Linked DNA regions of Macaca fascicularis. The protein of the gene in region 1 binds, or shares a complex with, the protein of each later gene. Links are inferred from orthologs where the notes say so. Each region holds a gene or a part of one and is shown on either strand. Other genes may lie near its edges.

What was found. Proteins that work in one complex are often made in the same cells at the same time.
Region 2: LSM11 (region 1) and LSM10 share a complex: the UniProt entries of both Homo sapiens proteins name them as parts of the heptameric ring U7 snRNP complex. The link is inferred for Macaca fascicularis from reciprocal best matches to the Homo sapiens genes LSM11 and LSM10.

The regions. Positions count from the first base shown.
Region 1 is NC_088380.1:164,546,641-164,551,409, forward strand, and holds the start of LSM11 (U7 snRNA-associated Sm-like protein LSm11), read left to right. Parts: upstream 1-1,689; 5' UTR 1,690-1,701; coding exon 1,702-2,149; intron 2,150-4,769. UniProt on the Homo sapiens protein: Component of the U7 snRNP complex that is involved in the histone 3'-end pre-mRNA processing. Increases U7 snRNA levels but not histone 3'-end pre-mRNA processing activity, when overexpressed. Required for cell cycle progression from G1 to S phases.
Region 2 is NC_088375.1:198,523,053-198,527,835, forward strand, and holds the start of LSM10 (U7 snRNA-associated Sm-like protein LSm10), read left to right. Parts: upstream 1-1,669; 5' UTR 1,670-1,861; intron 1,862-4,783. UniProt on the Homo sapiens protein: Appears to function in the U7 snRNP complex that is involved in histone 3'-end processing. Increases U7 snRNA levels but not histone 3'-end pre-mRNA processing activity, when overexpressed. Required for cell cycle progression from G1 to S phases.

The DNA.
Region 1 (4,769 bases):
ATTGGCAATTTTAACTTAATGGTAAGTTGACAGCATTTTATATCAAAATACAGAAAAGTAGGCATTAGAGTACAAATTTTCAAGAAAACCACCTAGAGAAACGTGCTTTCTGTGGGTCTTAAATGACACTATAAAGGCTATCACTCAGTGTTGTTATATGATGTGGGGATAAGCATTCATTTGTTGAATTGCCAGCAGTTCTGCAGCTTCGAGTTTTTTATTCAGGCAGGGGGTTCTGAATAAAGTGATAAGCTGCGTTCAAAACCTGTGCCATAAAGAAACCTGTACTGCTACTAATTAGAAGCCACTGCTTGGTTTTTCTTTTCTTTTCTTTTCTTTTTTGAGACGGAGTCTCGCTCTGTCACCCAGGCTGGAGTGCAGTGGTGCGATCTCGGCTCACTGCAACCTCCGCTCCTCCAGGTTTAAGCAGCTCTCTCCCTCAGCCTCCGGAGTATCCGGGATTACAGGTGCGTGCCACCATGCCCGGCTAATTTTTTGTATTTTTAGTAGAGATTGGGGGGGAGGTATCACCATCTTGGCCAGGCTGGTCTTGAACTCCTGACCTCGTGATCCACCTGCCTCGGCCTCCCAAAGTGCTGGGATTACGGGCGTGAGCCACCGCGCCCGGCCTGCTTGATGGTTTTATCTTTGCAGTAGAATGCATTCATCCCAAGGTATACATCACAGTTGTATATTAATTTTCATCTTGCTGTCTAAGGTACTCTCCAGTACTCTCTTGGAGACATCCTCTCTAAGTCTTAAGGAAACTGAAATGTACACAAAGCAACTAGTACAGAGAACACTAGTTGATGGCAGTTCAAGAATGTGGTGATGGGCAAGTGATGTGTGGCCTGTAGGTGAGTGGAAACATTTTGGCTCTGATGGATGAGAAGGTTGTATCTGGGCCTTCTGTGTAGAGTAGACTGTCATTTTAAAATCAACCAAAAAATATTTTGCCGAACTGAGACTATAAAGTAGCAAGTGGTATGATCAGGTCTTGTGAATTTTCCATAGTTTCCTCCAAGAGCTGGATCCTCGTTTCTTCCAATTGCTTAGCAATGCTTAGAAAGACAGTGATATAATGAATTTTCTTTGATACTAAGCGCAAATTTGTTTATGCACAGTGTATAGGAAATGGAGGACAGACACCCAGTATTGGCCGACATGCATCTATTATGAGCTCTGTAGGCAGTATCTCCCCATCCTGAGGTCAGTTCTATAAGGTAGGTACTATTTATGTCATATTTCAGATGAGAAAGACGCTAAATACTTTGAGCCCAAGGAGGCTATTCTTCCCACCCCATCAGTAGTACTCAGCATGGAAGCAAATTGAGACATTCATTGCCTTCCTCCAGACGTTTCCTGCAGCTCAAGCGAGGATGCGATCCCGAGCTTATTCCCGGGGAACCCAGAGTATTAACAAACACCCTAAGTGGTAATGATATAGATGGGGAAACTGCATTGGAGCAGGTCAAGCAGCAGCCGACAGCGTTAACCTGTCAGCCGTGGGCGGAGGCGGTGCGAGGCGCGGGCTGGTCGGAGCCGCGCACCACGCCCCCCGGCCGGGGTGGAACGAGGACAGGTGCTGCCCTCCGGCGGCCGCGTCGGCGCAGTGCAACCCCGCGCCGCGGCTGCGCAGTGCCGCCCTCTGGCGGCTCCGCTCCTTCTTCCCATCGGCCTCGGCTTGCGGGCCTTTCAAACATGGAGGAGCGGGAGCGGGGGGCGAGGTCGGCTCGCGCCCCGAGTCCCGCGCGCCCGCCCAGCCCGCGGCTGGATGTCAGCTCTGACAGCTTCGACCCGCTGCTGGCGCTGTACGCGCCCCGCCTGCCTCCCATCCCCTACCCCAATGCCCCCTGCTTCAACAACGTGGCGGAGTACGAGAGCTTCCTCAGGACCGGGGTCCGGGGCGGCGGGCGCGGGCGCGGGCGGGCTCGGGGCGCGGCCGCGGGCTCGGGGGTTCCCTCCGCGCCCGGGCCCTCAGGCAGGACTCGCCGCCGCCCGGACGCGCCCGCCCCGGACCCCGAGCGCATCCAGCGTCTCCGCCGTCTCATGGTGGCCAAAGAGGAAGGGGACGGAGCCGCAGGAGCGGGCCGGAGGGGTCCCGGTCGAAGCAGGAAGGCGCCACGCAACGTGCTCACGCGAATGCCCTGTGAGTCCGCGGTCCGGGCGGGAAGCGGGGCCGCCGCCGTCCGGAAGCTGGCGGCCGAGGGGGCGTCTGCGGGGCGGCGGTGGCCGGGCGCGGGTCTGCACGGATTGTGGGAGCGCCTTGGAGATTTGCGGGGATCAGCAGCGACTGTGGGGTGGAACTGCTTGAGTAATGTAGGTAATGACGGCGTGGGGAGGGTCCCTCTGAGTAAGAAAAGGGGCTGTAGGAGCAACAGAGGGAGAGTGGTGAGGCTATAGTGGTGATAAGAAGCCGTGGGAAAGGTCTGTAGAGGTAATCGGGGCCCATGGAAGGGTCAGAGGTGATGAGCCTGCGGAGAGGGTCTACAGGATTGATGGAGGACCTGGAGAGGTGGCGGGGGCTACAGAGTTTGGGGGACATCAGAGGGACGTCTGCAGAGGTGATGAGAGGTCTTAGAGACCACAGTGAGAGGTAAGGTGGGGCGGAAAAGGAGACGTGAGGGGAGAGCACAGCCAATATTAGGGGAAGGAGAGTATTTGGTCAGTGGGATTTGAGGAGGATCGGATGGAGTGTGGGGAGATCTGTTCGGATAGCACAGGCGCATAATCCCATAACCCCTGTACATTGACAGCTCCTTCTTGAGTGCGATAAGCAGAAGGGCTGCAGGGTCTTGATACACATATGTTCACATTACTAAGTCACAAGTGCTGAAATGCAGCAGGCACAGAATGCCTCTAAAACACAGACGCTGTTTTACAGCCACTCTGCCTGGCTGGGTGCAGGACTGTGTCTGTCAGGCTCATATTACCATATGTGCAGATTATTTTAAGTTCTAAAGGTGTAAATGGCACAAGGGAATTTCTTGGAGCCTCCTAATAGATCCTTAGAGTAAAGCTGTAAACAGCAGAGGCTCTAATGTGTGAGTTAAGTCTTGTATAAATGGAATAAAAACAGCCTAGGGTTATCTCTTTTGTCATCTGGCAAGCAGTTCTGACATCTGCCCTGTGAACACAATGACCTACTTAGCTATTCAAAGCATCTGTATCCTGGTGATTCAATTGTTACCTTATTAAGTCACTGCCTTTTGGATGGAGAGGTGTGCCAAGCAAGGGACTGATTTTCTTCCTTCCTAGAAATTTGTTTATTAAGAGAGAAACATCCTGAAACGCTGTGTGCTGTTATGTGTGCCTTTGCTGGATGTCTTACCATGCCACAGCATCCCTGCCCAAGCTAGGATTTACCCCGGCTTGCTTGCCCGGCTGTAACACAAAGACAGTATGCATGTTCCCAAAACGAGAGCAGTTTGGGGGACCTTAATTTGCCTATGCAATTTGCCACCATTAGCTAGTTGAAATGCACTCTTAAGTCTCATTGCAACATTTATTTCTATTTTACCAGTTATTGCGTTGCTACCAAGATTATCAAGGGAAAGGAATATTACTGTGTATTGCTATGTGGTGGGTGGTTTTGGCTTTCCCTGTAGAGCACTTCACTGTAATGATATGACAGTGTGTGAAGACCAGCTTTGTCAACTTCTTGTGATTAAGTATACCCCTGGAATTAAGATCTCAGAGAATGTGTCCTACATACTGAAAATTTTCACCATGGCACTGCAGACAGTTGGGTGTACATGAGAGACAGGTGTTGACGTCACACAGAGTTGACCTTCAGAAAGCAAGAAAACAACAGAAACATGGGTGAGGATTGGATTTATTCAAGAAAGAGTTCCTACTTGAGGGTGAAGGGTGGGAGGGGGGTGAGAATCAGAAAACTACCTATCGGGTACTATGGTCACTACCTGGGTGACAAAATAATTTGTGTGCCAGACCCCAGTGACACATGATTTACACATGCAGCAAACTTTTCACGTACCTCCTGATCCAAAAACAAAAGTTGGAAGGGAAAAAGAAAAGAACTAGGTATATTTTATGTGTATGCCACAGTTTTAATTTAAAAAACTATATATACATATATATATATATGCCTACTCTAAACCCTGATTGGATACAGTTGCTCAGAAAAATCAAAATATAGATACCAGTAAGATAAAACTATTTGTGGACATATACAAATGCTTTCTGGAAAAAAATGGCTATGCATTTGAGAATGCTTAATTCTTTGCAAAATATTTACATAAAATGTAAGTTACATCAGGCCGTAACAGCAAACAGAAGGTTTGTTAGGTCATATCATCAATGAAACATAATGAAGAATACAGGAGGAGCTACATTTTGTTGCTGACTTTAAAATGCTGTATTTCATCAATTCAGATCCAAGTTACCCATCCAAGTTCACAGACAGGACAGTGTGGAAGGAGTGCAAAATTAAGTGTAATGGTGTTTTAACCATAAAATGTTTCACTTTGTATCTCTGTCATAGAATCTCTTTGAAGTCCCTTGTGGAGCAGTCCTATTCTTTTCCTTGCAGTAATAAAATTTTAAAAGTAGCCAAGCACAGTGGCTCACACCTGTAATCCCAGCACTTTGGGAGGCTGAGGTGGGCGGATCACTTTAGGCCAGGAGTTCAAGACCAGCCTGGCCAACATGGTCAAACCCTGTCTCTACTAAAAATAGAAAAGTTAGTTGGGCGTGGCAGCATCTGTCTCTAGTTCCAGCTGCTCAGGAGGATGAGGCACGAGAATCGC
Region 2 (4,783 bases), on another chromosome or scaffold:
CAGTGGCTTGTGCCTGTAGTCCCAGCTATTCTTGAGGCTTGGGCAGGAGGATCACTTGAGCCCAGGAAGTTGAGGCTGCAGTGAGCTATGATCACATCACTGCACTCCAGCCTGGGTGACACGGTGAGACCCTGTCTCTACAAGTAAATCAAATCACGTTGCTCCCTTTCAATAGCCTATCATAGCACTTCTAGTACTAGTTGAGAAGACGGAAGCACAGAGAAGATAGCTAACTTGCCCAGTCACAGCCAGGAGCAGATTTGAGCCTAGGCACTGTATCCGGAGGCTGCACTCCTAACCATGAAATCTAAACTCCTTACCTTGGCTCACAAAGTCCTATATGCTCTGGCTCCTGCTTCCTCTCTGGTCTCTTGTTATACCACTCTCCCCAGCTTCCCTGGCCTTTCCTGTGTTCCTAAATTGTCAAGGTCATTTCCCCCAGGTTCTTTGCATGAATTGTGAAAAGAAAAAAATTGACTTTTAATTGGTGATTTGGCTTTTATTTGCTAAATTTGTTAAATTTGGGTTTTATTTGCAACTCTAGAATTGGGCAACATCTCATTCTATAAAACGGAATGAGTGTTCAAATAAGCTGAGCAGAGGAGATTAGTTTTACAGACAGAAAAGGGCTGAGGAAAGCAGAAACAGAAAACAAAAAGCAGATTGGTTGTTTCAAAGTTACTTTCCTTGTAACTTTGAAGGCTAAAGCAGAGGGGACTTCCTTATCCTGCCAGCTAAAACTGGATGGTTTGGAGATTTAAGTATCTCTCACTCTTCTGATTTATCTGAATATCAGATAAGCAACTTAGTTTCCACTTGGTGATGTGGAACTTTAGCATGAGTGACTCCATTTTGGTTTTGTCTGTTGGGCTTGGTGCAGGAGCCCTGTCCAAACCAATGGCTGCCTTTTTTTTTTTTTTTTTTCTTTGAGACGGAGTCTTGCTCTGTTGCCCAGGCTAGAATGAAGTGGTACAATCTGAGCTCACTGCAGCCTCCACTTCCTGGGTTCAGGCAATTCTCCTGCCTCAGCCTCCCGAGTAGGTGGGACCAGAGGTGTACACTACCACAGTGGGCTAATTTTTTCTATTTTTTGTAGAGACAGGGTCTCCCTATGTTGCCCAGACCAGTCTCGAACTCCTGGGCTCCAATGATCCTCCCGCTTTCTCCTTCCAAAGCGCTGGGATTACAGGTGTGGGCCTCCGCGCCCAGCCCTGCCTCCTATAAATTTTATTTAACAAACTGTTCCCTCTAATTGCAATGCTCCGCCCATAGTTTTCACAAGCTTGGCGTCATGTCACTAATCCCAACTCAAATGTCACCTTCTCAGGACACCCCTGACAATCCAATAAAAGACCACCTAGTCACTACCACGTCACACTTTCAATCTTCTAAAGAACTTTTTCCCTATTTTTCTTGTTTGTTTTCCTAAGACTCTCTCCCCTGCAGCGCCATCAGCTCGGGGAGCCACTTGATCTTGGTCACTGCTCTATGCCGGAGCCTAGGAAGCAGCCTGGCCCAGGGTGCCCGTTCAAGAACGCGTGCGGAGTGAATGAACGACTAGTGAAGGAGACTTCAATGACGCAGGCCGGCATTTGCTGAGCGCGAGCCCCGCGCCGCGAAGCATTCTGGGAATCGTAGTTTCTCCGTGCCGCGATGACTCGCAGAGCACAGACGCACTCTGCGCCGGGAGGACAGAGCGGCCCGGTCGCCGGCGTGGTTTCTCCGTCCTGCTGCAGCCGGCGGGAGGCAGCCCGTCCAGGCGCCCGCTAGCTTCGGCGGCGACCCAGACGGGGAAAGCGGAAGGAATGTCGCGTGGTGGGTCCGGGTCGGCGGTGCAGGGAGCCGCGGGGCGGAATGTGGGGTATGCCAGGACCTCCGGAAGGAGGTGCCGGAGCCCAGGAAGCGTTTTCTTCCCCATTTACCGAGTATAGCTCATTTCCCCAGACCCGCTCCCGCTGCTCTGAGTAAGGGGTGCTCATCCCGTTTTACCGGTAGCTTAGCTAGCTTGGAGAAGCTAAGTGGTTTGCTAAGTGGTCTCCCTCCTAGAAGGTGGCAGAGCCTGTCCTAGAACCCGGGCCTGACTCGAGGTCTAGTGATTGCTCTTTGCAGTCGCAGCAGCAACCCCATACCTTTGCTTGATCGCAGATTCGTCAGGCTGCAGCCTGGTGGCTGGTCGTTAGGCCCTGCCCAAGGACTTAGCTCCCAGCCCCGCTCATCACTGGCCTAGTCTAGCTTGCCACGCTCAGTGCCACACTGCACAGCCCTGGACGGGATGCTGAGTGAGGTCGTAAAGAGAGAGCGTTGCACCCCCGTTAACTCAGGGTCTGAAAATAAGGGATAGGTAAGACCTAGTGCACTAATACAATATCGGGGTACGTTGAAATCAAAGGAGAGTACCTTCAGTGGAGTGTGATTCTGGTAGCTTTGTTTCGCCTGTAGTTTAATAAATGTGGAAACAGGTTCAGAGACATTAACTTTTCTAGGTTTACATAATTAGGGGTGGAGTGGGGATTCCAGCCTGGGTTTCTCTACCTTCAAAACCTATGTACCTTATATACTACCGGTTGGGTTTCCCCCCCCCCCAATTCATTATCTAGATTTATTTTCTTTCTTTTTTTTTCTGAGAGTCTCGCTCTGTCACCCAGGCTGGAGTGCAGTGGCACAATCTTGGCTCACTGTAACCTCTGCCTCCTGGGTTCAAGCGATTCTCCTGCTTCAGCCTCCCAAGTAACAGATTACAGGTGCTCCCATGCCCAGGTAATTTTTGTATTTTTAGTGGATACTGGGTTTCATCATGTTGGCCAGGTGGGTCTTGAACTCCTGACCTCAGGTGATCTACTCCCCTTGGCCTCCCAAAATCCTGGGATTACAGGCGTCAGCCCCTGCGCCCAGCCTCATTACCTAAATTTCTACTTACCTAACAGCTGCATGGTATAGACCAATAGTTCCCAGAGTGTGGGCCCCTGACCAGCAGCATCAGCATCACCTGGGAATATGTTCGAAATGACTCTCTCTGGCCTCACCTCAGACCTCCTGAGTCAAACTGGGAGTGGGGCCCAGCAAGCTGAGATAACAGGCCCCTCAGATGATTCTGATACACACTGTATGTATCAGATGATTCTGATAATGTATGAGAACTACTGGTGTCAAGCACTGAGTCTCAAACCTTCACGTGTATCTAATTCACATACGGGGTCATGTTGAAATGCAGAGTCTGTTTCCAGTCAGTGTGGAAGAATGGCAGTGAGCCACTCAGTGAAGGAGTGGATTATCTCAGAACAGGCCTGGGGAGAGACCTGAGATTATGCATTTCTAACCAGTACCCCTCAGCACTTTGGAGTTACCTGGGGAGCTTTTTTTCTTCTTCTTTCTTTTTTTTCTTTTTTTTTTTTTTTTTTTGAGATGGAGTCACTCCGTCGCCCAGGCTGGAGTGCAGTGACGTGATCTCGGCTCACTGCAAGCTCTGCCTCCCATGTCCACGCCATTCTCCTGCCTTAGTCTCCCCAGTAGCTGGGACTACAGGTGCCGCCACCATGCCCGGCTAATTTTTTTGTATTTTTAGTAGAGATAGGGTTTCACCGTGTTAGCCAGGATGGTCTCGATCTGACCTCATGATCCGCCCACCTCGGCCTCCCAAAGTGCTGGGATTACAGGCGTGAGCCACTGCGCCCGGCTGGAAACTTTTACAAAATAGGAAATCTGGGCCCACCCCTCTAACCAAATGAATCAGAATCTGGGGTGGGGAAGGTCGAGTTAAAAACTCGCCAGATGATTCTAATGTACACCTGGTGTGAGGTTTGGAGCCAGGCGGCTATGGATTTTTTTTTTTTTTTTTTTTTGAGACAGAGTCTCTCTCATGCAGGCTGGAGTGCGGTGGCATGATCTTGGCTCACTGCAGCCTCCACCTCCCGGATTCAAGCGATTCTCCTGCCTCAGCCTCCGGAGCAGCTGGGATTATAGGTGCACACTACCATGCCCGGCTAATTTTTGTATTTTTAGTAGAGACAGGGTTTTACCATGTTGGCCAGGCTGGTCTTGAATTCCTGGCCTCCGGCGATCCACCCGACTCAGCCTCACAAAATGCTGGGATTACAGGTGGGAGCCACCATGCCTGGCCTACGGCTACGGATTTGAATTCCAGCAATTCCACTTATTTACTGTGACCTTGGTCAAGTTACCTCTCCTAGCCGTATTTTTTGTTTTTAAAAGTTATTGATTTATTTAAATTAATGTATTAGGAATGATACTGACTTTTGTTGTTGGTCCTAATAATTTATCTTGAATTCTCAATGTAGATAATCATATAATTGACAAACAAGGACAGTGATCTTCCTTTATAATTATTGTTTCTCTAAATTCTTTCCCTTCCCTTCTTTCTGTAATCGTTTTTTTGAACGTTGCATTGACCATTACCTACGTTTTACTGTTGATTAGAAGCCATAAAAGGCATCCTTTTCTTGTCCCTGGCTCAATAGAAATGATCATCATTTTCTTTATTTTTTGAGACAGAGTCTTGCTCTTGTTGTCCAGGCTGGAGTGCAATGGCGCGATCTTGGCTCATTGCAATCTGCCTCCCGGCTTCAAGCAATTCTCCTGCCTCAGCCTCCTGAGTAACTGAGATTACAGGCGTGTGCCACCACGCCCAGCTAATTTTTTGTATTTTTAGTAGAAATGGTGTTTCACCGTATTAGCCAGGCTGGTCTCAAACTGAGTGGATCTCGCTATGTTGCCCAAGCAGGTCAGCAGAACTCTTGGGCTCAAGTGAAGCTCCTCCCTCAGTCTC